Cricetulus griseus: one gene and its partners. The protein of the gene in region 2 interacts with the protein of the main gene of each other region in a biochemical or structural test. Links are inferred from orthologs where the notes say so. Each region holds a gene or a part of one and is shown on either strand. Other genes may lie near its edges. The genes, in order: Mapk12, Erbin, Atp2b4, Pkp4, Arvcf, Abca1 and Scn4a.

What was found.
Region 1: the proteins of Erbin (region 2) and Mapk12 interact in a test that uses a peptide from one of them, tested with the Homo sapiens proteins (2 studies listed by BioGRID and IntAct). The link is inferred for Cricetulus griseus from reciprocal best matches to the Homo sapiens genes ERBIN and MAPK12.
Region 3: the proteins of Erbin (region 2) and Atp2b4 interact in a test that uses a peptide from one of them, tested with the Homo sapiens proteins (2 studies listed by BioGRID and IntAct). The link is inferred for Cricetulus griseus from reciprocal best matches to the Homo sapiens genes ERBIN and ATP2B4.
Region 4: the proteins of Erbin (region 2) and Pkp4 form a complex in vitro, tested with the Homo sapiens proteins (4 studies listed by BioGRID and IntAct, with this or other methods). The link is inferred for Cricetulus griseus from reciprocal best matches to the Homo sapiens genes ERBIN and PKP4.
Region 5: the proteins of Erbin (region 2) and Arvcf interact in a test that uses a peptide from one of them, tested with the Homo sapiens proteins (3 studies listed by BioGRID and IntAct, with this or other methods). The link is inferred for Cricetulus griseus from reciprocal best matches to the Homo sapiens genes ERBIN and ARVCF.
Region 6: the proteins of Erbin (region 2) and Abca1 interact in a test that uses a peptide from one of them, tested with the Homo sapiens proteins (2 studies listed by BioGRID and IntAct). The link is inferred for Cricetulus griseus from reciprocal best matches to the Homo sapiens genes ERBIN and ABCA1.
Region 7: the proteins of Erbin (region 2) and Scn4a interact in a test that uses a peptide from one of them, tested with the Homo sapiens proteins (2 studies listed by BioGRID and IntAct). The link is inferred for Cricetulus griseus from reciprocal best matches to the Homo sapiens genes ERBIN and SCN4A.

What each region holds. Positions count from the first base shown.
Region 1 is NC_048595.1:385,891,901-385,896,588, reverse strand, and holds the start of Mapk12 (mitogen-activated protein kinase 12), read left to right. Parts: upstream 1-1,602; coding exon 1,603-1,727; intron 1,728-1,817; coding exon 1,818-1,947; intron 1,948-4,580; coding exon 4,581-4,639; intron 4,640-4,688. UniProt on the Homo sapiens protein: Serine/threonine kinase which acts as an essential component of the MAP kinase signal transduction pathway.
Region 2 is NC_048595.1:322,071,910-322,075,932, reverse strand, and holds part of Erbin (erbin), read left to right. Parts: intron 1-1,783; coding exon 1,784-1,990; intron 1,991-3,268; coding exon 3,269-3,361; intron 3,362-3,832; coding exon 3,833-3,907; intron 3,908-4,023. UniProt on the Homo sapiens protein: Acts as an adapter for the receptor ERBB2, in epithelia. By binding the unphosphorylated 'Tyr-1248' of receptor ERBB2, it may contribute to stabilize this unphosphorylated state.
Region 3 is NC_048598.1:55,474,888-55,478,910, forward strand, and holds part of Atp2b4 (plasma membrane calcium-transporting ATPase 4), read left to right. Parts: intron 1-540; coding exon 541-732; intron 733-1,251; coding exon 1,252-1,465; intron 1,466-2,232; coding exon 2,233-2,444; intron 2,445-3,580; coding exon 3,581-3,688; intron 3,689-4,023. UniProt on the Homo sapiens protein: Calcium/calmodulin-regulated and magnesium-dependent enzyme that catalyzes the hydrolysis of ATP coupled with the transport of calcium out of the cell. By regulating sperm cell calcium homeostasis, may play a role in sperm motility.
Region 4 is NC_048599.1:115,554,683-115,557,798, reverse strand, and holds the end of Pkp4 (plakophilin-4), read left to right. Parts: intron 1-14; coding exon 15-88; intron 89-1,489; coding exon 1,490-1,738; 3' UTR 1,739-2,490; downstream 2,491-3,116. UniProt on the Homo sapiens protein: Plays a role as a regulator of Rho activity during cytokinesis. May play a role in junctional plaques.
Region 5 is NC_048597.1:70,855,023-70,859,045, reverse strand, and holds part of Arvcf (armadillo repeat protein deleted in velo-cardio-facial syndrome), read left to right. Parts: intron 1-2,868; coding exon 2,869-3,027; intron 3,028-3,197; coding exon 3,198-3,724; intron 3,725-4,023. UniProt on the Homo sapiens protein: Contributes to the regulation of alternative splicing of pre-mRNAs.
Region 6 is NC_048595.1:90,742,462-90,746,484, forward strand, and holds part of Abca1 (phospholipid-transporting ATPase ABCA1), read left to right. Parts: intron 1-1; coding exon 2-143; intron 144-458; coding exon 459-593; intron 594-1,471; coding exon 1,472-1,575; intron 1,576-2,100; coding exon 2,101-2,193; intron 2,194-3,066; coding exon 3,067-3,310; intron 3,311-3,933; coding exon 3,934-4,023. UniProt on the Homo sapiens protein: Catalyzes the translocation of specific phospholipids from the cytoplasmic to the extracellular/lumenal leaflet of membrane coupled to the hydrolysis of ATP.
Region 7 is NC_048600.1:119,270,851-119,274,873, forward strand, and holds part of Scn4a (sodium channel protein type 4 subunit alpha), read right to left. Parts: intron 3,906-4,023; coding exon 3,732-3,905; intron 3,277-3,731; coding exon 3,154-3,276; intron 1,439-3,153; coding exon 1,160-1,438; intron 881-1,159; coding exon 827-880; intron 689-826; coding exon 551-688; intron 1-550. UniProt on the Homo sapiens protein: Pore-forming subunit of Nav1.4, a voltage-gated sodium (Nav) channel that directly mediates the depolarizing phase of action potentials in excitable membranes.

The DNA of each region.
Region 1 (4,688 bases), about 64 Mb from region 2:
TTTCCTTCCTGGCTAAGGCAAAAAGGCTGCTTCAGCCCAGGGTACAGCCAGCTCATGTATCATGTCCATGTCCTGAATCTTGGACCTCTAGACACCTCCATCTGGCAGCTGGTCCAGGGGGGAAACCCAGAAGACCAGAGCCAAGTCCAGTGTTGGGGATCAGGAGAGGGAGTAGAATCAAATACATGGCTCTAGTTCCAAACCCTGATCTGGATTAGTCCCCTACAGAGGGAGGGGACTGGGGAGATTTTGGAAGAATATTGGTGGGTGGCCAGAGGCATGAAGGGCATTAAGGACACAGGATACAGGCAGATGTGGCTTGAGTGGCCTGGCTTCCCCTGCTCACTCGTGGTTGCTTGTGAATGTGCCACTAGCAGCAGCCCAGGCGCAAAGCTGCCCTGGCTGGCCTTGAGCTGCTGATTCATGGCAGCAGGCAGGCAGGCAGGCACGGAGGGAGGGGAAGAGCCTTCTGGGGGATCTTGTTACTACTCATCAACCCAGTGGGATCCTGGAATGGCCTTTGATCGCTAGGCTGTGGGAAGGATGGTGGCTTTACCCTCTGGGAGCATCTGGTTCAGGTCTAGGACAGACCCCAGAGAGAAAGCTCACATGGAAGCATCAGGCTGAAAGTTCACATAGAAGCCCCTCTTTTTCCTGGGAGCAGGCATGCCTTTAGCTCATTCCGGGCTTTGAAGGCTAAGCTGGATAACAGGTGGAATAGATAGAGGGGCCACTCCTAGTCTTTGCTTGAAGCAGGCACTCCATATACCAGGTAGGGGCCAAGGCTGGGAACAGAGGTGTAGAGGCCCTAGAAAGGTCTGTATGACCAATACCTCTGGTTCCTAGATTAGGAAACTGAGAGCTAGTGGCCACAATGGGGTTGGGTACGCAACCTGAGATGTCTGGGACACAGAACCAAATACTTCCTTCATAGAAGAGATGAATGGATCAGCTCCAGGGGCGGGGCATCCTTGGGAAAGAAGAGTTGACCAGGAACAGAAAAACAATTGGGATGGGGTGTGATTGGTAAATGGCAGGTGGACCTGACCTGGGGATGGAGTAAAAGTTGGTGAGCTCAAGTTGCCTAGAATGGGCCCGGCGTTCTGGAAGGACAGGAAAGGTTGGAATCCAGAGAAGCACCTGCTAAGAGCCCAGGGCCGAGATGTCTAGTGAGGATAGAGGGATAGAGGCCATCCAGGGTGTTTCAGCGCCACCTCCCGCCCCAGGTCGCGAGAGAGCTATGGGGCAGTTCCCCCTCTCCCCCGCCCTCCCTTCCCAAGCCTTCCGCCCAACCCCAGAGGCCTCCTCGGGTTTCCGCAGGGGCCGGAGGGCAGACGGGGGTGTCACGTGCTCAGGGCTCGGGGGCCCGGTTGGTCAGTGGGCCGGGAGGAACCACTTCGCTGGCCAGAGACAAGGGCCGGGTGGGTGTTGGCGGTTACAGAGAGTTCAGGGTGACGACCCCAAGAGAAGAGCCCGCAAGGGAAAGCCCCGAAGGCGGGCGGGCGGGCAGTGAGGAGCCCGCCCTCCACGCAGTGACCCGGGGCGCACGGGCTGAGCCCCTGATCTTGGGTCGGGTCCTGGGGCGCGGTGCTCCAGTCGGGGATGAGCTCCCCGCCACCCGCCCGCAAGGGCTTTTATCGCCAGGAGGTGACCAAAACGGCCTGGGAGGTGCGCGCCGTGTACCAGGACCTGCAGCCCGTTGGCTCTGGTGCCTATGGTGCAGTGTGGTGAGCGTTCGCCGGGCGGGGCAGCAGGCAGGGCAGGCGGCGGCTGGCGATTACGGGGCGGGTTCTCTAGCCAAGCTGTCCGCCCCGCAGCTCTGCAATAGACAGTCGCACTGGTAACAAGGTGGCCATCAAGAAGTTGTACCGGCCCTTCCAGTCGGAGCTGTTTGCCAAGCGCGCCTACAGAGAGCTGCGCCTCCTCAAACATATGCGCCACGAGAACGTGAGTCCAACGCCCGCCCCAGATGCGGACATTGTGCACTGGCCACTTCTCATCCTGCCCTCCCCTGCAATCCTGTCCACTACCTCTGCTTCCTGAAGCCTGGTACCTAGTTAGCCTCCAGCTTGAAAAAGCTATTAGCAGCTTCCAGGAGGGAAGTGGAGACAGATTCCAGACCCCTTTCTGAGCGACACTGCAAGTTCATGCCCGGCTTCAGTGGCTTGGTTTCATCTTCCGTCCACCTCTACTTTCTCGGCCCAGGCAGTGGTCAGGGTATGTTCTAGTCCTAAGGGCTCCTCAAGTCTTACTCCAAACCCTGTCTCCATTCAGGTTGGTGGGAAGAGGATTTTCCTGGAAGGGGCGTCTCTTCCCCACCCTAGGCCTTCTCTTGCCCACTTCCAGCCAGGCAGGTCACTAGAATTATGCACCCTGGCTCTATCACCCCAAAGCCTCCAGTCTCTATGGATACGGGGTTTAAGGAGAAGAGCAGGGTTTAAGGAACAGAGAGTTACAGTCACCACTGTGGGTGTGTATTTCTTCTGTCAGCATCGCATTTCCGATTTCACCTGCCCATAGTAGGATACTGCACATGGCTGCCCTTGTGCCTCTCATATCAGCCTTGCTAGCCATCAGAATCCTCTCAGCTGGGGGCTTTGTCTTCATATGGTTCTTCCTGAGGCTGTGAGTTCCATTCCCCCTCACTTGACATCTGGGGAGTTGCACTAGTCCTGAAGTATGTTTTAATCTCCTGGGTCATCAGAGTCAGTAACCCCATGGAACAATGATCTCCCTGTGTCTAACAGCAAACTTGCTTCGTCATTGCCACTCTTGGTTGATGTGTTGGACCTTTATTTCTTTTCTTCATGAAGCCTGATTAAGATGGACGTCAGCCCTGCTTTGTCTGCCTCCCCACTTCCCCATAAATCTGTAAACAGTTATAAAAAACAAAACAATCAAACAACTTGGGAGGCAGAGGCAGGTGGATCTCTGTGATTTCAAGGCCAGCCTGGTCTACAGAGTGAGTTCCAGGATAGCTAAGGCTACACAGAGAAACCCTGTCTTGAAAAACCAAAACAGACAAAACAGTAAAAGGCTTTGTTCTCATGGGTGTAGCCACCCCTATCCTCAAGCCCAATCCCACCTAGCCACCTACTTATCCCGAACCTTTCTCCAGCCAAGGGTTGTGGGCTTCTTCATTCACTCCCCACTCCTGAGTGAGTCTGTGGGTCAACCCATAACCCTTGCCTGGGTGTGCTAGCTTTCAGGATTCCTCAGCACCTTCTGGGAAGCTGCCATTGTATCTCCCTTCTCGTGTGGAAACTGAGGTTTGGACAGGCTGTATGCTCTACTTACCAGAAATGGGGCTGCCACAGATCCAGCTCTAGTCTTCTTCCCTTTCTCCTCAAGCTCTGGTCCTTGGCTCTGGGTCACATCTAAACCACAAAAGTGCAGAAGTCTTATGCCTTTGGTGGACTTACCTTGACCTCTAGGACCCTATTCCTTATATATTCTACTAAGCTCTCAGGTCACATCTGTGGTTTATCTGCCCCCAAGCCTTTCCTGTCCATGTTCTTACTCCCAACTTTGGCCATGCCTAAAGTGATCACTCAGCTGCCCTCTACCTCCTGTCTATTCTTGCCTCATTCTATTTGTCCTTTCACTGAAATCCAGAGTATATACCTATCTTTTTTTTTTTTTTTTCACTCTTTGGTTTTTTGAGACAGGGTTTCCTCTGTGTAACAACTCTGGTTGTCTTGGAACTCACTCTGTAGATCAGGCTGGCCTCAAATGCACAGAGATCCACCTGCCTCTGCCTCCTGAGTGCTGGGATTACAGGTGTGTGTCACCACTGCTCAGCCTCAGCATTTTATCTTTGTTTCCTTCCATAGCAGCTCTGTGGAGCAAAGCCAAATCTTCCTCTGGGATGTGAGTTTGAGGCCTTCTTTTGGCTCCTTCTGCCTTCTCCTTGGTTCTGTATTGGCCTGGGCTTTAGCTATTTGGACTTCTTCTCTGTTCCTTACTCTGAAGGTGTTTTCTGTCCTACTTTGGCCATCAGGCACCCTGCCTCTCTTTGTTCTTTCACTCGTCCCTCCTGATAGTTGGGTATGCAGCACTCATCAGGGAGGCCTCTCTTGACCCCAGAGTTCCGGTCCCCCTCCCAAGTACTGGGAAACTGATGTCACATTGTCCATCTGTTGTCCAACTCCCACAACCAGAAGCTGTGTTTAAATTGGTGCTTCTCCTTGGCCTAGATAGCCAGGGGATGGCCCCGGGAAGAACCTACTAGGTATTTGTTCCTCCCAAGGGACTGTCCCCACTTTGGTCTTGGGTCTGCTTCATTGAGGAGGAGTAAAAGGGGGGGGGGACTAAGGGGTTGGATTGCTCAGAAGCCTGGAGTCAACCTAGACTTGAGACTGCACCTCCCCCCAGAGTATCCCGGCTGTCAGCATCTAAAAATAGATTGTGTCTGTGGGCAAATGTACCAGGGTGGGGGCTGAGCTGACAGTGGGCACAGTGGAGGAGACAAGGATAGTTATAGGAGGGTTTTATCCCTGGAGAACAGTGCCACCCTGGGCATGCACTGAGTCCTTGCATCTCCCATGTGCTCTCCATCCTGTCTGGCACTTCTTCCCCAGGTGATTGGGCTACTGGATGTGTTCACACCCGATGAGACTCTGGATGACTTCACAGACTTGTAAGTGCTGGCCTGGGTTGGCTCAGTGGGTGGGAGGAAACTGGTAGCT
Region 2 (4,023 bases):
TTGCTCTTGAGGGTAGGCATCCAGCCATCTAATATGTAATCATACATGCTTATTTATTTTATCCCTTTCCTTTCAATTCAAAGCTATCATTGAGTTTCTTTTTCTTTTTAACATGCACCTTACAGCTTAGTTTGTAACCCTTCTTTGTTTCACAAGGCATTGGCTAAACATAACGTAATACAGTTCTTATGTTTATGACAGGTGTCAGCAGCTTTTAAGAATAGGATAGGCTCAATGTGGTAGCGTATGGCTGTGTCTTAGCACTTGAAACCCAAGGCTGGAAGATCAAGAGTTTGAAGCCAGATGGGTCAGGGAGGGTGAAGCAAGAAAGATGGTTCAGTGGATAAAGGCACCTGTCCTTGAGTCTGCCATTATGAGGTCAATCTTTGGAACCTACACAATGGAAAGAGAACAGACTCCAGAAAGTTGCTCTCTGACCTTTACATATGTCATGGCATGCATACACCTACTTTCTAGAGAATAGTTTTCTTCCTAAACATCAAACCTTATTGTATCTTTAGCAGGATGCAAGTTCACAGCGTACAGTTATGAAACTTTTGCCAAACTTCTATTTTTGGATAATTTTTAGGGAAATTCTGAGGTTTTTTTGCTAATTTCCTTGAGGACAGAAATTCTCCTCTGTTAACCAACAATGGAATTTAAATGATTGAATAATGAAAGCATTTATTTCCTCTTCTATGTACAAGTCTTTTTACATGTGAACATTTATAATATGAATGTAGCCTCTTTTTAGCTAGATTCCTTATAGAATAGAATAAGCTATTTACTACAAAAGTAACCCTAAATCTAAAATTCAGGTTCCATTTCTTAATAAATGGGAGGTACGTCCTTAGTAGCAAATTAATAATCTCAAAGTGGATTAAAAATCCACTTTGCAGTGGAGTTTTTTTTTGGGGGGGGTGGGAAATAAAGTAGAGCCTCATTGTTTTAATTCTTGTGTTTTTAAATATTCCTTAGAATTAATGTTTATAGAGAGCTTGAAAATTACTGATAATGCACACATAGTAAAGAATCAATAACTTAATTTCTATGTAGATAGCTGAATTGACTTGTTACTTCTGAAAAGGAAGAAATCCAAGTTAGAAAATATACTAAAATTTAAAAAAAGCTACACTCCTGAATTAGTTTTTTTCTCGAGGAAAAACAATTTACATACACCTTTTATGCATGTTTGTTATGATTTGGTATGAGAAAAGGATACTCTTCTAATAGGCTAACATAAGCTTGAGTTTTTTTGGTTTTGGGGGTTTTTTTTGTTTTTTTTTTTTTTGTTTGTTTGTTTTTTGGTTTTTTGGTTTTTGGTTTTTTGAGACAGGGTTTCTCTGTGTAGCTTTGGAGCCTATCCTGGCTCTCACTCTGGAGACCAGACTGGAAGCTTGAGTTTTTTTTAGCATACAAAATGTTGTTTTATGTATATCAGTAGTTAAACTTTTTCAATATACGCGTTTCCTACTTTTAACATTGATAAGTGTAACATTAATATCTAACAGAAAAGCAATTAATTTAAAATATAGATGAGGCCATCATTCAAAGTTGTGATAGATCCAATCAGTAAATATTCAAGCAAGTTTAGAATTAAGACATTAATAACTTTGTTTCTCTTGGAAGGTTTAAAATTAGAGGAATATAGTGAATAACTCAGTATTTAATGGTATATAATATTAAAACTCTGGTGCATTTGTATTGCTCCAAGATGAATATACAAGTACTTGTAATAAGACATTATTACAGTCGTTTTTAAGATAATTCATGTCTTTCTTAGATGCCTTTGAGTAATGGACAGATGGGCCAGCCTCTCAGGCCTCAGGCAAATTATAGTCAAATACATCATCCCCCTCAGGCATCTGTGGCAAGGCATCCCTCTAGAGAACAACTCATTGATTATTTGATGCTGAAAGTGGCCCACCAGCCTCCATATACACATCCCCATTGTTCTCCTAGACAAGGCTATGAGCTGGCAAAGCAAGAGGTAAGAATTATCAAGACTGAAATATGAAATTAAAGTTTCCATATATTCTTATAGGTTAATAGCAATATATCCATACAGAATTTTAACAGTAGTTTTTACCATTTTGTTTTAAGTTTATGAAGTTTAGTTTTCTAAAGTGTTAAAACTTTGTACTTTTTAACTTGCCTTTATGATCATGTAACATTGGGGGTGTGGTTTTTTTAATTCTAAGGCAGCTGCTTGTCCAAAATAGATTGATGGTGCTCCAGCAGACTTTCTTTTAAGACAGAATAGTAGAGCATTAAAATGAAGTGGTCCTGTTCTACACCAATCTCAGCTTTTAGATTTGGAAATTCAGCTATATTCTCCAGGCCATGTTGAGAGTTTGATCTTTAAGATGTGTATAGATAACAATTTCACACACCTTAATGATTTGTTTATGAAGTGATAACATTGAAGCCCTCAGTGTTGATCACATTTTGTTTTGATGGAGTCTGTGGTAAACAGAAGCATCCTGTAACAGAAATTTAGCTTCTATAACCTTGTGCGCCAGCACCTTGAAGGCTGAGTCTGGAGGGTGGTGTATTCAAGATTGGATGCACCAGACAATCCAGGCTCTCCTGGGCTGTTGTGAAAGCTTGTGTTTATTAAAAAAAAAAAAAAAAAAAAAAAAAAAACTTAGGAGCTAAAGGCAGGAGGATCTCTTGAGTTCAAGCCCACCTGGGTCTACAGAGCAGATTCCAGGCCAGCCAGGGCTCCATGGTGAGACCCTGTCTCAAGAAAAGAAACTGTTTCTTCATCTCTTATTTTACAGTAGTTTGTGATTTTAAAATCCTTACTCTCCTGAAACATATAAACAGAAGGAATGAGAGTTGATTTCCTAAAACCAGCTCTGAATGTTAAGTATCTTATGACACAAGACAGTAGGCAAAGACAGCATGTAATTTAAGTGAAATTAAATGAAAACTGGTGGAAATAAGCATACGTGTTCTGAAGGTATGCACCATGCTGTTAAAATCATGCTGACTAAAAAGTAAGATAGAGCCAATGTCAGTTGATTGACTAGTCATAAATAAAGTCAGGAGCCACACTGTTTAATCCCAACTGTGCCTTTAACTCACTAACTCATTAACATTAATGATGTTCTGTGTTGTCATGTCACCTCATCTATCTAAATGTTTAGTTCTGATGAATCCTTGCATATTCTGCTTGAACTTAATTCACCAGTATTTAAGTATAGATGATAGTCTATAAATTTTCTGGCATAGTAATATTTCCTTTGTTTTCATATTAAATCAGATTCGAGTAAGAGTAGAAAAGGATCCAGAACTTGGATTTAGCATATCAGGAGGTGTCGGGGGTAGAGGAAACCCTTTCAGGCCTGATGATGATGTAAGTTTTTTTGTTTTTTTGTTTTTTTTTTTATGTTCCTCAGCACTCATAAGGTCTCTTTTATCAATCTCATACTTACTAGGTGAAAATGTAATGTAAATCTATGGGGCTCTCATCCCTTTTCCTTATTACCTTAGTTTGTTTGTTTGTTTTTTAAATTTGCTTATTGCATGTTGTTTGAAGGGAAGAATTATCCAAAAATGTGAATATTGATGATATTACCAAGTGATTTTTAGTTTTGGTACTGCTTCTCCAAAAGTTTGTAGAAGTGATTTCATTGCATTGCTAAAGTCAGAATTACTAAAGGGAGAAATTATATTGACCTGTCAGAGGGTACTCCAGTCAGGAGACAGCTCTCACCATGTTCAAGTATTTGCATGCTATTGAAAACGGTTTCCCTTGATCCTGAGTCATGCTCTCAATTTGTAGTTTGGCCTTAAATAATTTATTTTTTGTGATTGCTCATTAAAGGGTATATTTGTAACAAGGGTACAGCCTGAAGGACCAGCATCAAAATTACTACAGCCAGGTGATAAAATTATTCAGGTAATTAAATCAACCTTTTTATTATTTTCTTTCATTTTATAATAATTTTATTTTATAGTACTTTCTAATGTTTTAGAATTTTAAATATTTCTGCTTTATACTTGGAAAATCATGCT
Region 3 (4,023 bases), on a different chromosome or scaffold from region 2:
GTAGTAGGGTAGGAGAAAGGACTGTTAAAAGATGCCTAATTCCTCATCTGGGACAGCAGTCAGTCAATTATTTCAGGGTCCAGATGTGTAATAGTCTCTCTTCTACCACCAAGCAGACATGGACCCAGTGGCCACAGTGGGAGCCTAGCCAGGCTTCTTACCACTTCCAACACATACCTATCAACCCATCACTTCTCTGTTAATTGTGTGGCCTTTTCAACCCAGGGTCTCCTCAGAACTAAGAGCAGAGGTGGTGAGGAAGACTCAGTTCCCTGTGCACACACTTTTCATGGGTGCTGGCAAGAGGCTCTGAGAGGGACTAGGGGACAACAGGCCGCCTTTTGATCACTTGAGGGACTCTTCTGGAGAGCAGCAGGGAAGTGGCGCCCCTTTGTTTTCTGTTGTGGCTATAGTGACCTCTAGTGCCTGTGCCTGGTTCTGCGGCTCCTTAGAGGTCCAAGTTCTTAGACCCTGGGTTTCAGAGTATACCACATACTGTCTGATTAGCTGCTCACTGTCTGCCTTCCTCTCCCACCTCAGGGCATTGCAGGCACAGACGTGGCTAAGGAGGCGTCAGACATCATCCTGACCGATGACAACTTCACCAGCATTGTGAAAGCAGTGATGTGGGGACGGAATGTGTATGACAGCATCTCCAAGTTCCTACAGTTCCAGCTCACTGTCAATGTGGTAGCTGTGATCGTGGCTTTCACTGGAGCCTGTATCACTCAGGTTGGGTGGGGCTTGGATGGCAGGGATGACTTAAGGACTGAGGAACATAGGGTAGGGGGTATAGTATACCTACTCAGGAATGAAAGACAGGTATTTCCCAACACTGCTTGGACAGTTAGCTACACCAGGTTTATAGACTCCACTGTAATGGCTCACCTACCATTAATTTAACATTTTTTATGTGGTGATATCTTGCGTGTACAAATAAAGCCTGTCTGAAGGTCAGAGAATGGAGCTTGCCACTAGCTATCCATAGCAAGTCTGGAGGAAGTGACGTGTACTTATGTGGATTATCTCTGCCTTTTCAAAACAAGCTTGCTAGGCCGATGTTATTTTCCCCTTATAGAGATGAGCCTGAAATTATATAAATTTGTCAGAGTCACTGTGTACCTAGGTAACCAAATTCAAGGTCTGGTGGGTAGCAGGAGCTAAGCCACCTCAAGGGAATGATGGCACTGTAGAGTGAGACAGGCTTGTTTTTCTGGAGCAAGTTGTAAGGACTGGTTCTTCTTCCTACAGGATTCTCCATTGAAAGCAGTGCAGATGTTGTGGGTTAACCTGATCATGGACACTTTCGCTTCACTGGCCCTGGCCACAGAGCCCCCTACCGATTCTCTGCTGAGGCGTCGCCCCTATGGGCGAAAGAAGCCCCTGATCTCACGTACCATGATGAAGAACATCTTGGGCCACGCAGTGTATCAGCTCACAGTCGTCTTTGTCCTTGTCTTTGTTGGTGAGCCACAGTTTGGGCTGAGAGAAGGTAGTATGGCAGATGGGGAAATACAGACCCGACAAAATAGCAGCTTCACCAGCGAGTGCTGCCTGTGCAATCCCGGCACACAGCCACAGTGCACAACCACAGGGAGACAAGTACCAGTGGAGCCAACTGACAGACAAGATCACATATGTGGAGACCAGAAGCAACATTTAAAAGATTTCATTAATGGGGCCTGGAGACAGAGTTCTGCAATTAAAAGCACTTGTTGCTTTTACAGAGAGAGGACTCAGGTTCAGCCTCCAGCACCTATATGGTGGTTCACAACTGTCTGTAAATCCAGTTCCAAGGGACCTGATGTCCCCTTCTGACCTTCTGCGAGCCAGACACACACGTGGTACACAGACACACATACAGACAAAATGCCCATACACATAGAACAAAATACATACGTCTTAAGTAATTTTTAAATGTTTTATTTTTAAAAATAAAACGTTCGACAGGGTAGGTCGATCTCTGTGAGTTTGAGGCCAGCCTGGTTTACAGAGTGAGTTCCAGGACAGGCTCCAAAGCAACACAGAAAAACCCTGTCTCAAAAACACAAAAATAAATAAAAACAAAACTAAAATGTTCAATAGCTAGTGTAACTCAGAAGCTGACCAATTAGAATGAACTTTGGAATGGCCAGAAGCCAGTAGCATGGCTGTCCCAACCTGTTCACCCTTTCAACCTGAACCCTCACTGAGACCACAGGCATCCTCTAATACCGGCCCCGCCCCCACCAGGTGAGAAGCTGTTTGACATTGATAGCGGAAGGAAGGCGCCTCTCCACTCACCGCCCAGCCAGCACTATACCATTGTCTTCAACACCTTTGTGCTGATGCAGCTCTTCAACGAAATCAACTCCCGGAAGATCCATGGTGAGAAGAACGTCTTTGCAGGCATCTACCACAACGCCATTTTCTGCTCTGTGGTTTTAGGCACATTCATCTGCCAGGTGAGATTCTATCTGAAGCTGGGGTTGGAGGGCTGGAGGGTGGGGGACGATGGAGAGAAGAAGGAGTTCTGGGGCCCAAGGCTGTGAGTAAACACTTTGGGATTTCCCGGTTTGCTTCCATGTGCACCTTGTTCTAGAACTGGGCCCAGTCAGGTGCTCCAGGACAAGGTAGCATGTTACCCGCAAATATGACTTGTAGAATACTTTCATGATCTTTCCAAACGTGCAGAGAAGTTCCATATAGTGACTAAGAGAAGGGCCACTATCTTCTACCTTCTTCCCATGCCAGCACACATGAAATGTGTATGTACGGGTCGTGTAGGCTCCTCGCCCCCACCCCCTTCCCTACCCCCTTCCCCACCCCTGCCCTTTAGTCCTGAATGGGCTGATGCCTGAAAATGTTACACAGTCCACAGAGGAGAGGAGTGATCGATGGAGCACGGTTGCCTGGCAGTGGAAGGATGAATTCCTTCCTTTTTGTCGTACTCAGAGGGTCACCAAGACATGTGGCTATAAAGGATTATGAGCAGGTCACAGCACCAAAGACCATCTTCCTGGGGCTGGAGACATGGCTCAGCAGTAAGAGAGGACCAGTGTTTGAATTCCAGCACCCACATCATTGGACTCATAATCGCCTGTAACTCTAGCTCTTCTGGCTTCTGTGGCACATGGTTCAGAGTAGAGACCCACACAGAGACGCAGATACAGATATGCACACAGATACACACATGCACACACAATTTTAAAAATAAATCTTAGAAAGAAGCTGGCTTTCTCTCAGCAAAGCCCCTCCCTTCAGCCCCATCCCTCCACCTCATTCCCGGCTCCGTTCCTCTTCCGCTGTCCCTTCTCTCTGTCACCCTTTGGCCTCAGTCACAGGAAGCTTCCAACTGCCTCTACTCTGGCCAGATGTATATTAATCCCTGTCACAATAGTCCCACTGAAGTGCTCTATAAAGATTGTATCGGTCACTTTTTTCTTCTTTGCTGTTCCTTCCACAAGAGAATCCAGACTTGCACAACTCTGACCCTGCAGGGGGCACTGTGGCTTTGGCCACCTTTTCAGTCTCGGTGGGTGGAAGGCTGACTCCCACGAGATGTTTCCATCATGGTAGGCTGCCCTTTGCTCTGTTTCAGATTTTCATTGTGGAATTTGGGGGTAAACCCTTCAGCTGTACAAAACTCAACCTGGAGCAGTGGTTGTGGTGTCTCTTCATAGGGATTGGAGAACTTTTGTGGGGCCAGGTGAGTGTGGGGTGCCCTCTTGCAGATCCTCAAGGCTGTAGACCTCCCCTCTCATAATGAGAGGAACAAGTGTCTACAGATACCCAGCGCCTTGTTCCATCTTATCCTTCTGTCCCCTTCCTTCCATCATGGCATCAGGCTCCTTCCGTCTTGGGGTACCGGGTTGGAGTGACCACTGCCTTCACTTCAGGGGGTTATATTCTCTGCAAAAAACTTAGCTTTTTTTTTTTTTTAAACAGAAATAGTAATTTTCCATTAAAAGTAGAAGAGTGCACAGAGCCGATGTCACTGTGATGAAGCAGCAGTCTAGCCAGGGCTATTGTGCTGCGGGGGTT
Region 4 (3,116 bases), on a different chromosome or scaffold from region 2:
CTATTTTCTTACAGGCTCCAGCAAACCTTCACCAATTTACATCAGTTCCTATTCCTCACCAGCAAGAGAACAAAATAGACGGCTACAGGTGAATTTGCAATGTCATTTGTACAGAAGGCTGGTTAGCAGTCACACAGTAAGGGGACCACCGGTGAGAGCTGGGCCTCCTCGATGCAGGGCCAAAGGAGCTTCCCCTGAGGAGCTTTGCCTCTCAGACTGCGTGTGGTTCAGATAAACTGTTTCCATCAGTGCTTCTGAGACTGCATGCCTCTGACGAGGATGCGAGAAACCTCTAGTGCATGCTCTTTGTCCAGTAGTTTCCTTCTCTGACTTTTTTTTGTTTTCCATTAACCTAGAAAGTCTCTTCTATTCTCTGGGTAAGACAAAGTTGGTGAGCAAACCTCGCAGCCTCCTGTTCTCTTTGGACACTTCATCCTCCATCACCATGGCTTCCTTCTCATCCAAGCTCCATGCTTTGAAAACCCTGAGTCTGTAGCCCACTTAAGAGGGTCTTCCCGAGCTAGCCCCTGGAACTGTACTGCCACACACACCCCTTTCAACCACAAAGCTAAGGTTTCCCAGTCAGAACTGCATTGTGTCCTTCCAAATAAGTGTTCTAAGACCCTATCGACACTATAACCTTTAAGTCAAGAGAAATCTAACTCTGCTTTTAAAAGAGGAGATAGTTAGCTAAGTATATTTTTTAACTCTGAAATACCATGATGTTAGAATGAGTTTAAAGTCAGATGCCAATACCTATATGGTAAATTCTTCAATCTTACCAAGATTGTGGGGCAGGGGGCGAATTTGGGCAGCATGCAGACAGACATAAGAGCTGTGATAATTTGAGGGCATCGTGGTGAGGTCAAAGCTAAGACAGCACAAAAGGAAATGGGGTCCGGGTTCCCTGTGTGGATAACATGTGGTACTTCACTTTCTTCAAAGGACCTTATTGGAAGTCTTTGCCTCTACAATGCTATTTGCTCATGTGTCTGCTAATTTTGTTACCTTCCTGCCTTGAGATTGCTCGTCCTCTAATAATAAACTGTACAGCAGAGTTCATCACACTATGTTACGTCTTTTAAAATTAAGCAGTGGATTCACATACAATCCTATAGTTATCTGAATATCTAAAACCAAATCCCCGGCCCTCAGGAATGTCCATGATATGCTTAACTTTCCTGTGCAAAAGCTGCCTCCTCTTTTGGTCCCTAAATAACAGGCTCCTCCACATCCCTTGCCACCTCCCATTGAGGGCCTAAACTCTCCTGAGGCCTCAGGGCAAGACTTGAACAAACAAAGCCAGCTTGCCTATAAACATAATTTAAAATCCTCCCTACTGTGAGTAAACATGGTGTGCACCTGAAATAGCTGCCCCCACCACCACCCTTAGCCCACAAAGAACTGTAAAATGTGAAACTGATGTACAGTGTTCTTTCAATGTGTGTTTTTAAAATGCTCTCCCTTACTCGACTTTCCATTTTGCCAGCAGCACCAACAGCTGTACTATCAAGATGACTCCACCAGGAAGACCTTGGATGCATACAGGTTGTACTTGCAGTCTCCTCGTAGCTATGAAGACCCTTATTTTGATGACCGAGTTCACTTTCCAGCTTCTACTGATTACTCAACACAGTATGGACTGAAATCAACCACAAATTACGTAGACTTTTATTCCACTAAACGACCTTCTTACAGAGCCGAACAGTACCCAGGGTCCCCAGACTCGTGGGTGTAGCATCAAGACGCCTGGCGAGGGACTCTTTCTTGCTAACTTTTGCTTGGATTGAGGTGAAAAGTCCGTCTTGCTGATTTGATGATGAAATGTGGAAAGTGAAATGGAAGGAATGAGTGAAGTGTATTTTTTTTTTTTTTTTTTTTTGAGGAATTTTCAGGGAAGTGAGGAAACCCTTGGGAGAGGACTTTCTAAGCTCTGTGTAGGTGTTAGGTCTAATTACTTGTAGATTCTAGTGGTGAAGGTATGGGTGATGTGATGAGAGGTTTGAGAAATGGGTGAAATGAGATGGGGTATGTGTAGGTCAAATCAAATTACAGATGATTTTTTTAATGTGAATAAAGTTATGTTCAGATAGTTTGTACAGAAAAAAAATAATAAAATGGATGCCCTTCATGTTTTATTGCTATTACTAAATGTCAAGATTGTATGCTATTATGTCTTGTAAAAATTTATTCTGTTGGTGTAAATATGGAAATGCCACATTGGTTAAGTGCCATCATTTGTAATGCAGTGTGTCGTTTGAAAAGAGATTTGAAGAACTGACAGCCTAAAACACAAGTGGGAAGCCCAAGGAACTATTACCAGTTGACAACAAACTCTGACATCCTGTTTTCAGTGAGTAGTGACCCCTGGAAGCACAAAGCTCAGTGTGACAGCAGCGCCATGCTCATCCCGCCTCTTTCACAGGACACTTCACTGCCATTTTCTATGCACATGGAAGAATAATAAATGTGGAAATTTCATCCTTGAAATGTGGTCTGGTCCTCTTTTTCTGGGTGTGATATGGAAAACAGATTAAGTCTGTTTATGAGGTGGGCCACACTGGGCAGTGAAGATGTGGCTGCTACCTTACTGCCCCTTAGTCTATGTATTTCTTGGAGTTTTTGTTTGTTTTAATTTTATCTCCAGTTTTAGTGGGTTCTGCTTTGTTCCAACCTTCTAGATGTATTTAACATCTCTTTTCACCGAAGGGTATTTACATCTGGCATCCTGGCCATACTACATTGGTAAGGACCACTTACAGCATCATTTTTTTGGAACTAAATCATTACATATGGAGAGTTGGGCATTTGCTTGCTTGGCATCAATGTTAGAAGCCAACACTGATTCTAAATAATTATTGTGCTCAGTACTTGTTGGATTATAGACAGCATTTTGAGGTCTATAGGCATGTCCCAATGTTACTCTGCAGCATGCAGCATTGTGACTATAGAGAGACCCAAGAAACAGTACTTTCCTGGGTTGAAAACAGCCCGAGGTTAGGATTCAAAGTAAAATAGGTCCAATGTAGGCAGGAAAGTAGCTGAATCCTACAAATGGTGAGCCTTTTTGAGCTCACCATTTGCAAAGACCACCTAAGATGGCTGACAGGTCATGC
Region 5 (4,023 bases), on a different chromosome or scaffold from region 2:
AGTCCCCCACAGGCAGGGAGAACGCTAGCAAACCCCAGGTCTGTTCAGCAACCCCTCTCCTGTCCAGGCCCTGTAGCTACAAAGTATGGAGAAAGGATATGGCATCTACTAGAGGAGAAGAGGTGAGGCTGGAGCCAGGGACCATACATAGTTGGCACACATGTGTTGCACAGGGCTGTGACAGTATTCAGAAAGGTGTCCATGTCTGGTCCAGAGAGGAATAGCCCAGAATCAGCTGTTAGGCTACAGGCAAGAAGTATGGGAAAACGAATTGGCTGGTAGGTAGGTATGAAAACGAAGACACTTTACCAGCCTTTCCTGTTGAAAATCAGTTGTGCTGCTGGTCAGCACACCATTACACGGACCCACCTCAGAGAAATGATAGAAGCTGAGTCCCAGGATGGCCTTGAGCATCTTGCTACCAAAGGCCTCAGTTTCCCCATCTGTATGTACTACCACTGAAAACCCAACAGTCAATTGGTGACTGGGTGTCAGTGGCTCCTTCTCTGTATGTTGGAAGCACATGTAAGGGCTAGTACCAATAAAGGATGGAAGATAGGGTGTGTTTGAGAGCAGGGGGCATGTGCATCCATCAGTGCACTCGTGGCTGTATTTCTGACTAGGAACTTGTACATATATTGCATATATATGTGCTCCTGTTTGAGGGGTTAGAGACATGCGCTTGTATGAGTCCAGATCCCTGCCTGTGTGTGCCCAGGCATGAGTAGCTGGCTTGACTTTCTCAGGACCAGGCTGACTTAACACGTCTGCCTGCCTGCCTGCCTGGGTGAGGTCATTAACTGCTTTTAGCTTCCCATTTGCTAGCAAAGACTCTGGAAGCTCAGGATCCCTCAGCCCATATGTTAGTGGGTGATTACTGCAGGTTGCCTCCCTTTGCTGGATCCCGGTTCTCCAGACCACTCCAGTTGCTATGTGTCATACCCTCAGCACAGCCCAGGGGCTGTGATTCTGTCCTTCCTTGTTTACCATATAGATAGGGAGTAGGGTAGCGTTCTTCTCTGAATGTTTAATATATGTAGATGCATGCAAATCTACAAAGGGGCCCTGTCCTCTGGCAGAATGTCCCAAGCAACATGTACCCTCAGCCTTGCTCCTCCCCCTCCTTCATATCTAGGAATGCAACCCCTAGGTCCAATCCCCCCCCTCCAAAAAAGAGAAAAAACCTAACCAAACAAAAACCCCTCTTGACTAGCTCCCCAGGGTCCAGCAGTGAGAGCTAGGGCTTGATATTCAGTCACCAAATAGAGATGGGACAACCCAGACTTCAGCACAGAGCTGTCCCAACTACCCAGTGTCCTTGGAGAAGTGCCCAGGTCACCCAGTCTGGCATTTTTCCAATTGTCCCCACATTGGGCCTCATCTATTTTTCTTTCCCAGAGAACAGGGTCTCCTCTTCCTGGCCAGGTCCCAGCAGACATTCCTTCTCATCCCTAGGAAAGTAACTGCCAAGGCACTGTCCTGAAGAGGTGAAGCAAAGCTCAAAGGCTTCCTTGTCACATGTGTTCCTGAAATCCCCCTGCTAGGATTGCTGAAGTTCTGGGCAAACCTCCTCTGCTCAGCCAGGCCTCAGTTCTCTTATTTATAAAGTCATCTCTTAAATCTCTAGGCCCTGCTCCTGAGGGAGAGAGAGGTGTGCTCTGTGCCTCCACTTTCTTGTGTTACCAGAACCCAGGATGTCCTGTCATGCTACTGCTACACTGACACTTGTCCACTTGTCTCCATCAGGGGCCAGGGACTCCCCCAGGGCAGGAGCTGGTCCGAGAAGGTTTACTGTCCTGATGGCCTCTGCAGGAAGGCCTGTTGTAAAGGCAGCCTGGTCCCCTGCTTAGCACATCTCCCAGGCCAGGGAAGGGCATTGTGGTTCCGGAGCTGGGGGAGATGCCATGTGAACTACTAACCCTCCCTGGGCCTTGGGTGGGCGAGGCACAGCCTTCTGCTGACCTAGCCATGGTTACAAAGGAATGTGTCCCCTCTAACCCACCCACGGTAGCTTGAGTTCCACTGCCTGTCCAGGCCAGATGCCAACCCTGAGATGTTGACAGGGTGAGGCCCTGAGCCCAGGACAGACCATGGGCTCTCAGATCCATGTTCCACTCTGCACAGCAGGAACTGGCCTGTCCTTTGGAGTTGGCTTCCACACTGACTAGTCTGACTCAGTCCATGGCTGTTTTTCCTAGGATTTGGGCATCATGCCTCTGCACAGGGTGGTGGCAAGGTGGTTGCAGGTAGGAATCCATATATCTAGTGTCTGGTATGATGGTTGGTCTCCATGTCCCAAGAGCCTCTGGGCTAGAAGGAGCAAGGATATCATAGCACTGTGGGTGCCTGCAGTACTCTAGAAGGTGGGCATCTTGGAACTGTGAGGACTTCTGGCTGATCTTGGCATGGGATTGTGTGAACTGTGCTGAAACTGTGACTCTAAGACTTGGTCATTTGGACCTTATAGTGTAGAATGAGGAGGAAGGCCAAATTGAGGAGGCAAGTGATGTCAGGAGAACATCTTGCAGGACATTCTGGGTCCCTCTTGGGGCCTAGAGAGGCCTGTGGTAGAGCCATACAGCTCGGGGAAGCCACCTTGCACCCAGGAGAATTGAGCCACCCTGGCTTTGTCAGGGTACTGTCCAGGTCTCAGCCACCAGGCCCATATACCACTTTCTTGTCCACCAAGTCACCAAGAAAGTCAAGATCACAAGGACAGTATGCCAGGTGCCTTTGGGTCCAGATGGACTCCCCCCTACACCTCATCCCTAGGTTGAAGAACTGATAACCCCTGGTGCATGGTCACCAAACATCTAGGCAGAATCTATTGTACATGGAGCTTGACCTCTGACACCCTTCTCCTTCCAGGAACAGAGCCCGGGTAGCCAGGCATCGCTCGCCACGATGCCAGAGGCACCTGAGGTGCTGGAGGAGACAGTGACGGTGGAGGAAGACCCTGGCACGCCCACCTCCCACGTGTCCATTGTCACATCAGAAGATGGCACAACCCGGCGCACTGAGACTAAGGTATGGCTGGGCCCAGGCAAGAAGAGGGCAGCTTGGACAACCATAGCCATCCCTCTGTGGGACAGGCATGTGAGCTGACCCCCTAAGGACCACTTGTTTGGATGGAGAACCCTGGCACTGTCCAGGTCTCTAGAGACACCAAGCCCAAATGCTACTTTCTCGTCCATCAGGTCACCAAGACGGTCAAGACTGTGACCACAAGGACAGTACGCCAGGTGCCTTTGGGCCCAGATGGACTCCCCTTGCTGGATGGTGGCCCCCCACTTGGTTCTTTTGCTGATGGGCCCCTAGACCGGCATTTCCTTCTGCGTGGTGGTGGCCCAGCAGCCACACTCTCCCGAGCCTACCTCAGCAGTGGAGGTGGCTTTCCTGATGGCCCTGAGCCCCGTGATATTCCAAGCTATGGCAGCCTGTCCCGAGGGCTTGGGGTACGGCCCCCACATACTGGCTTCCTGGGCCCAGGGCCTGGTGATGGCTGCTTTACACTGCCTGGCCGCCGAGAAGCCTTCCCCATGGGCTCTGAGCCTGGACCACCAAGTGGCCGCTCCCTGCCTGAGCACTTCCAAGCTGAGCCGTATGGCCTTGAGGATGATACACGGAGCCTGGCTGCCGATGATGAGGGTGGCCCTGACCTGGAGCCTGACTATGGCACAGCAGCTCGGAGGAGGCCTGAGTATGGGCGGGGCCTTCGTGCCAGGTGAGCACCTGTTGCTTATGACTGCCTCTTCTGTGAACTCTGTCTTCCACTCCCAGCTACAAAGTATCCCACAGGTCATCAGGCTACATTTCAATTTGAATTGGCTTCATCTCTTCTCAAGGATGGCAGCAAGAACGGGCCTGGGATGATAGGCATTGAGCTGGTGTCACTGCCTGAAGCTGCCTCTGTTCTAATAACCAGCTGGCCATGAAGACCCAGGCCTCAGATGCTCATGGTGTGACTCTGCTTAAGGCCTCTGATGTTTTCATCATGCACACTAGCTGAAACCCAAAGGCCCT
Region 6 (4,023 bases), about 230 Mb from region 2:
GCATCTTAACAAATATCCATGAAGTACATCAGAACATGGGCTACTGCCCTCAGTTTGATGCCATAACCGAGCTGCTGACTGGGAGAGAGCACGTGGAGTTCTTTGCCCTCTTGAGGGGAGTCCCAGAAAAAGAAGTTGGCAAGGTATTGTGGGAACCAGAAAGCCCGGTTGTCTCTTTTGATACCCTTATATGGCATAGCTTCTCACACATGGTGGCAAGCTGAGACCTTTTCCTTGCCCTGCTGTAGTCTCTTCTCTGCACCCATTCTCATGGTGGGAGAAGGGAGAGTAGGCATACACAGGCTAGGGGTCAGGGAGCAAGTGCGGTCCTGTCACACGAATCTCTTCTCCCTCCCCTGAGTCCTCAGAGGTAGCTGAGACTTGAGTCCTACTCATGTAAGAAAGCATGATGATAGTACTGAACCAGACAAAGCTCAAAGTGCTCTTTGTCTCTCTAGGTTGGTGAATGGGCAATTCGCAAACTGGGCCTCGTAAAGTATGGAGAGAAATATGCCAGTAACTATAGTGGAGGCAACAAACGGAAGCTTTCCACGGCCATGGCATTGATAGGCGGGCCTCCTGTGGTGTTTCTGGTGAGTGTGCAGGTGGTGAGTGTGAGGGGAAGGTAGCAGCTATTCTGTCATGAATGAACGTGGTTCATCTGAAGTCACATGTGGGCCATGTTGCATACTTGGCAGGGTGACAGTAAGTCAATCTGCCATTCACTGCAGAACAGGCTTGAAGAAGCACAGGGAAGCTCCTCCCACAGAGCACACTGGGTGACTCTGCTGGACCTTAAAAGGCTTCCCCCCAAAAACATGCTCCAGACACCTTGTTTTCTTGCCTTGGATAATCCCTCCTAGTATGGCTGAAGCTGAGTGTGAGACTTGATCTCTCTCAGGAACATTCTTCATGGCTCATGACTGTATGTTCATCCTCCAAAGACAGAGAGTGAGGACAGTGCTTCGAGGTGACCATAGTAGACACTGGACCATAGTTCCTTACATGCAGATAAAGAAAAACCAGATCAGACTGGGCAGTGGCCCTTGACACTCATTTTGTAGAAAACACTAGAGGTATGGGAAGAAGCCTGACTTGAGGCTTTAATGTTACCTTGACCATATGAATCTGAACTTTGCATAAGATTAGCAAGTATAATAGAACAAGGAGTGACCTAGGGGAAAATATATTAGTTTTGCCTAAACCTTACTCTTAAAAAATGTTTTTTGGGTTTTTTGTTGTTTGTTTGTTTGTTTTTGGAGATTGGATTTCACAGAGCAGTCCTAGCTACCTGGAACTCATTATGCAGACTAGGCTGGCCTTGAACTCACAGAGATCCACATGCCTCTGCCTCCCCACTGCTGGGATTAAGGGTGTGTGCCACCACACCATGCATGATCTTTAGCATTAAAAAAATTATCTTTGGTATTTTTCTCAGCAAATAATTAAACTTATTTTATTCTAATTATAGGATGAACCAACCACAGGCATGGACCCCAAAGCTCGGAGATTCTTGTGGAATTGTGCCCTAAGCATTGTCAAGGAGGGGAGATCTGTAGTTCTCACATCTCATAGGTCTGTACTATATAGTCTTGGCCTCTGCAGTGTGTGATTGATTATATTTGGTTAATTAATGAAAATTAGAAAACAAAGGCTAAGACTGAAACAGTTATCACCTGGAATCATTCCACTTCAAGATAACTATTATCATTTGTCTGTATATAGTCCAGAGTTTTCTTATGCAAAGCTATACACACATAAGTGTTTTACAAACAAAAAATGTAATTATAATGTGTATATTGAGAATATTATTTCAAGACATAAAATTTGGTTGTGCCATCACTTCTCATAGCTGGATTGCATTTCATAAAGTTCTACCTTAATTTATGTAACTTTTCCTTGTGCAAACATTTGGATTACTTCTACCTTTTCACAACTGTAAAGCGCATGACAGAGAAGAGCATCATTCCTGTATCTTGGCAAGAGATGCTCTAAGATAATGGGGATCTGTTTTTTTAGAGTGCCAAGTGTCATGGTGATGTTTCCATGGATATAGGGGGATCTCTCTGAAAGGAAACCCTCCTTCTGTTTTTCCCACAGTATGGAAGAATGTGAAGCTCTTTGCACAAGGATGGCCATTATGGTCAATGGGAGGTTCAGGTGCCTTGGCAGCGTCCAACATCTGAAGAACAGGTAACAGATAATTTCTTTGGGATAGCATCTAGTGAAATGGTCGGTGTTTATTCTTTGCTGGGTGTATACATGGTGGCTTAAAACAAAAACAAAAGAGCTTAGCAAAAAGAACATGGGCTCCACTAAATCAGTTTGTGCATTAGAGTTAGATCTTGGACCCATTGCCAGTGGTCTCATAGAGAGGTGCCTTGTTCCTGCCTCAATGTGATGATGGGACAGACTTAGTAGACTTCCTAGGGGAGGCCTTACCCTCTTTGAGGAGCAGATGGGAGGTGGGGTGAGAAGGAAGTGAGGGGAGGGAGGGGGAATGGGGATTGGAATATAAAAAAATAAATTAATAAAAAAATAAAAGAGCATGGGCTTTGATGTCTAAATGGGCAGTAGTCCAATTCTGACTTTGCCACATACTGGTTGTGTGATTTATAGGCAAGTTACTTAACCTCTCTGAGAAGCAGTTTTCTGGGATACTTCTGAATTTTGTTATATAAATTAAATTTAATAATTTGTATGTGATGTTATGGTAATGAGGACACACTGTGGAGTCAATGGAAATGGGTTCACATCCTTGCCCTACCATAACCCAGGAGATAACTTTGGGACATGGGCAGGTGACTAAATTTCTTAGGCTTCTGTTTGTTTGTGTGTCAGACTTCATGGTTCCACACTGGGGATTTAATGGAATCTTGAATTCAAGGTTCTGAACACATGACTAGATAAAACTGGTTTCTTCTCTCAGAAACTGTTCTGTAGGTCTGCCAGAGATCTCCCTTTTTCTCAGTACAAAGCAGAGTTTTTGGGGTTAAGTATTATCTTGAGAAGTTTTCTGGGAATGCTCCATTTGGACGTACTTTTTTTTTTTTTTCCTGCCCTCAGGTTTGGAGATGGTTACACCATAGTTGTGCGAATAGCAGGGTCCAACCCTGATCTGAAGCCTGTCCAGGAGTTCTTTGGACTCGCCTTTCCAGGAAGTGTCCTAAAAGAGAAACACCGAAACATGCTACAGTACCAGCTTCCCTCCTCCTTGTCGTCTCTGGCGAGGATATTCAGCATCCTCTCCCAGAGCAAAAAGAGACTCCACATAGAAGACTACTCTGTCTCTCAGACAACACTTGACCAAGTAAGCCTTCAGTTCAAAGTACTTTAAGCTGCAGGGTTAGGATGCCTGGTCCTTCCTCCCACCATGAGCCTGAGAGAAGTTCAGCCTGTCTGTGTTTTGATTCCTTCTGTTATTACTGCCTATTCTGTATAAATCTCTATGAGCATATGCAAAAAGATGATGCTTTCTATTATATGGAGTTATTGTGACTGTTGTAGCAGTAGTCATAATAACTACCATTTATTGCCTATCAACCATGAGCCAGGCATTTTGCCAGGTGCCTTATCCTTTTTAAATAACAAAATATATTAAAATTGGTAGTTAATAGGTATCCAGGAAGTGTTTTTTCTTTTCCTTTTAATCAAGCCCAAATATGCCAAAGTGATAATTGATGAGATGATTGAGCAGTTGGTGATATGGGGGTAATGTAAAAAAATAATTTTTAACTGCTTTTGATGTTTTTCAAGTATTCTCCCCTTCACACGGGGTTTTCTAGTTCAATTACTTATTCAATTCTGTGTTCTCCTACCTGACACAATTTCAACACAAGGACAAAATGCAACCATACATACATAATAATGATACTGTAATCACACAAGAACAAGTCAAGAGGTATTCATGAATGTCCATCTTCCTTCTGACAGGTATTTGTGAACTTTGCCAAGGACCAAAGTGATGATGACCACTTAAAGGACCTTTCATTACACAAAAATCAGACAGTTGTGGATGTGGCT
Region 7 (4,023 bases), on a different chromosome or scaffold from region 2:
TTGAAGGTGGACTTTACCCCTTAAGAAGCATCTGGAGGGAAGGCGTAGGCTCTAGAGGGGCTAAAGGTGGAGGGGTGAGGAAGGGGGAAACTGGCTCTAAAGAAGGATGGATGAGCAAAAGAAGGAGGGAATGAGAAGGTTCCGGGCCAATTTCCAGCTTCATGCTAAGTTCCACCAAGGCTTCACCAATGAGTCCTCAGTTTGTATCTACTTCATTTTATTTATTGCTATTGAGACAGGGCCTCGCTTTGTAGCATAGGCTGGCCTCAAATATGCTATGTAGCCCAGGCTGGCCTACACTCGAGAACGTAGTGCCTCAGACCACTTTGTGCTGAAATTCCGGGTGTGTGTCACCATGCCTGTTTCTGCATCCACCTCGTTTTATAGATTAGGAAGGTGGAGCTCAAGGGGTCAAGTCATGGCTTGGTCCCCTAGTGGGATACCCCGGCATCCAGGTCAGTGACTGCTGAGGGCTGTCAGGCAGCTATGACTACAGGAAGCAGTGGGTGGGTGGGGGTTGGGTTTCCTCTGGGAAGGGCCAGATACTCATCTTCTTCTTCTGTTGGTTGAAGTTGTCGATGATGACGCCAATGAAGAGATTGAGTGTGAAGAAGGAGCCAAAGATGATGAAGATGACGAAGTAAAGGTACATGTAGATATTCACCTCATAGACCGGTTGCTCCTCCTTCTACAGGGTGAGGTACGCGCACGGAGTTTCTCTTTGTGCCCCAGAGTACGATGAGCAGGACCCCTCCTCCCCAGACTGCGGGGCTACCAACTATCAGCTCCCCCCTAACTTAACTTATCAACCCTGTGACCCACTCACCTCCCGGGAGTCCACAGCTGCATACATGATGTCCATCCAACCCTTGAAAGTGGCCTGAGAGATCATGGCAGGTCATGAGGGGAAGGGCTCTCCCACACACCACCATTCATGCCTCCCTCCCTTCCCTAACCAAGCCCTCTCCAAACACCAGCTGCCTGGACCCAGTGGGCAGCATCAAATATTCTAGAGAGACAGGAACACTACCTCTGGGTCCCTCGGCGCTGTGAAACAGATTGGCCACCCCTGGCGAGGAACACAAGTGGGTTCTGATACAATGAGGGGCAACTAGGCACTTCTACCCACTTCTGAGAAGGCTCAATGGGTGCCACTCACCACCTGAAGGAGGGAGAGATAGCCCAGGCCCACGTTGTCATAGTTGACCTTGACATTCATCCAGCGGACCTGGCCTGTGTGCATGAGGCTTTCACACTCAGACTTGTTGTTGACCACAGAGACGTCGAACCTCTCAGAGGTGGTTGTGTTGACACAGTAGTAGAACTTCCCGGCAAACAGGTTGACGCCCATGATGCTGAAGATGAGCCAGAAGATGAGGCACACAAGGAGGACATTCATGATGGAGGGGATGGCTCCCAAGAGGGCGTTCACCACCACCTAGGGGCCAGGGTGGCAGTGGGGTCATTGCTAGATCCACTCTCGGGGATCTCTGACAGGGGACTCCCAGCCAGGGAACTGGGCAGAGCTGAGCACTGGCAGTCACAAAGGGCCAGTCTTAGGCAGTCCTGGTGGGAGAGGGTCTGCTGGGTGGGCATGTGTGTACAGGGGTAAGGGAGGGTCTGCTGGGTGGGCATGTGTGTACAGGGGTAAGGGAGGGTCTGCTGGGTGGGTATGTGTGTACAGGGGTAAGGGAGGGTCTGCTGGGTGGGCATGTGTGTACAGGGGTAAGGGAGGGTCTGCTGGGTGGGTATGTGTGTACAGGGGTAAGGGAGGGTCTGCTGGGTGGGCATGTGTGTACAGGGGTAAGGGTAGGGGCTGAGCAGCTAGCATACTGGTCCTCTAGAAGTGCTCTCTGCTTCACTGGAGCCATCAAGGCAGAGTAAGGGTGCCAGGCTTCTCTGGAAGCTGCCAGGTCATGGGTCACAGAGCAGGAGACAAACACTGCTTTCTTAGCCCCCATAGGAAATTCAGCCCCCCGTGACCTGGCTTGGCTCACTGCATCAGTGAAAGACACAGAAAGGGCATAAAAAGAAGCCACCAAGGTGTGCAGAGCACTAGGATTTAGAGTCAGATTCCTGTCCCTTACCAGCCCTGGACTTATAGGCCTACCAGACTGCTTTAGTCTTGGCTGAATCTGAGAATTATTCCCCCTGCTGCCAACACCCCTTTTTAATTGTTTCTGAAATAGGGTTCAAAACATGGTTCCTAGGCTGGACTTGAACTTGCTGTGTAGCTGAGGAAGCCCTTGAGCTGCTGCTCCTACCTCCACCTCCTGAGTGCTGGGATTAGGGGTGTGTACCACTACACCTAAGGCATGAGGTTCAGGGGATTGTCCCCAGGGCTTTGTGCACACTAGGTGGCCACTCTACCAACCGAGCCACACCCTAGCTTGATCAGTTCCCCTTTAAGTAAGAGCTATCTCATGGCCTCTAGACAGCTGGTGGCAGGAGCTAGGGGTGCTGTGTTTCTTCAAACCACTCAGCTGGCATGAGCGCGTTATTTGTCCTAGCAGGAAGAGGTCCCCAGCAACCAGGATTGGGGGTCCAGCCTTGGGCCAGCATCTTCTATGAACTGGGGAGGTTGGAGTGCTTAGGCTGACCCTGGAGGGGTCAACCAGGGTCCCTGGAATGAGATTTTATTCCCAGCGGATGTCTAGTCACTGACTGAAGTCCCATTGATTTTGCCCAGACCTTGTGTTTATCTGCCACTGCTCTCACAGGCCTTTGGGGGATCTTCTCTAAAGTGCCCCTGAAGCCAAAGGCATGGTTCCATGCTCAAGAGGGGCAGGCTCAGGGCTGAAGCAAAAGAACTTGCTCATGCGTTTGTGTTACAGGACCCTGGGGCCCCCAATCCGAGGTGGGGAGACCCATAAACCCACAGGCCAAGCCTTGCTTCAAGCCTTCCAGGCCACTGCAGCAGCCTCTGCTGCCCTCCAGTGGTAGCAGAGATAAGTGCATGGTCTGGTAGAGCTCAGGGGTTGGACCGGGGCTTCTTGGATATGGGTCACAACCCTAAACTCCAGCCATCAACAGTTTGAACCTTCTGCCTGCCCATGGTTGACTGGCAAATTGTCACGTACCTTGTAACCCTGCCCCGTAGGTGGCTGCTCCAATCCCCTGAGCCCTTTTCAGTGTTCCCCATCCAATACTCACCCTCATGCCCTCAAATCGCGACAGTGCCCTCAGGGGACGCAGGGCCCTCAGTGTTCGCAGAGATTTGATGGGACCCAACTCTGAGTAGCCCAGCCAGTTGGCCACCAGACTGATGATGGAGACCTGTAGGAAGTGTGTGTTCAGTGGGTTCGGGGTCCCTGGCTTTACCTTCTGCCTGAGACACACAAGAGGGGAATCCCAATTTCTGTCTGTCTCCTGTAGATCCCATCCCTGGTAGATGACCCTGTCTGGTGGGGAGAGTAGCCTTGTGACCTCTAGCACCCTAGAGCCTGAGATCATCTCAATGGTGTCACCTATGTCAGTAAACGGGAAAGACAGTACCCATCTCCTAGGGTCCTGTGTGCCCATCAAAGAACACATGGAAACCTTACACTGGCAGGGATCATAAGGCCCAGGCCTGGGCTGTAGTATCTGGGAAGCAAAAGGCCAGTCTGTAGGGAACAGTGCTGGCCTGGGACCTGACTCTCTGCGTGAATTTGGAGAGATCCTACCTCCCAGAGGGGGGGCTCCCTAAAGGCCTTGACATTGGGCTATGTGACCAGACCCAGGGAACTCACATCCACGATGAGGAAATCGAGCCAGCACCAGGCATTGGTAAAGTACACCTTGAAGCCGTAGGCCACCCACTTGAGCAGCATCTCCAGAATGAAGATGTAGGTGAAGACCTTGTCCGCATACTCCAGGATGGTGCGGATGACACGCCGCTGCTCAATGTAGATGTCCTCGAAGGCCTGGGGACACCAGGGCAACCCACAATGGCCAGGGGCTCTGAAGCTGGGGCAGCAAGCTCTATTCTCCCATCCTGCCGGCTGCTGCTGGTTCCCAGGGGTCTTCCATGTGGAGTCGACT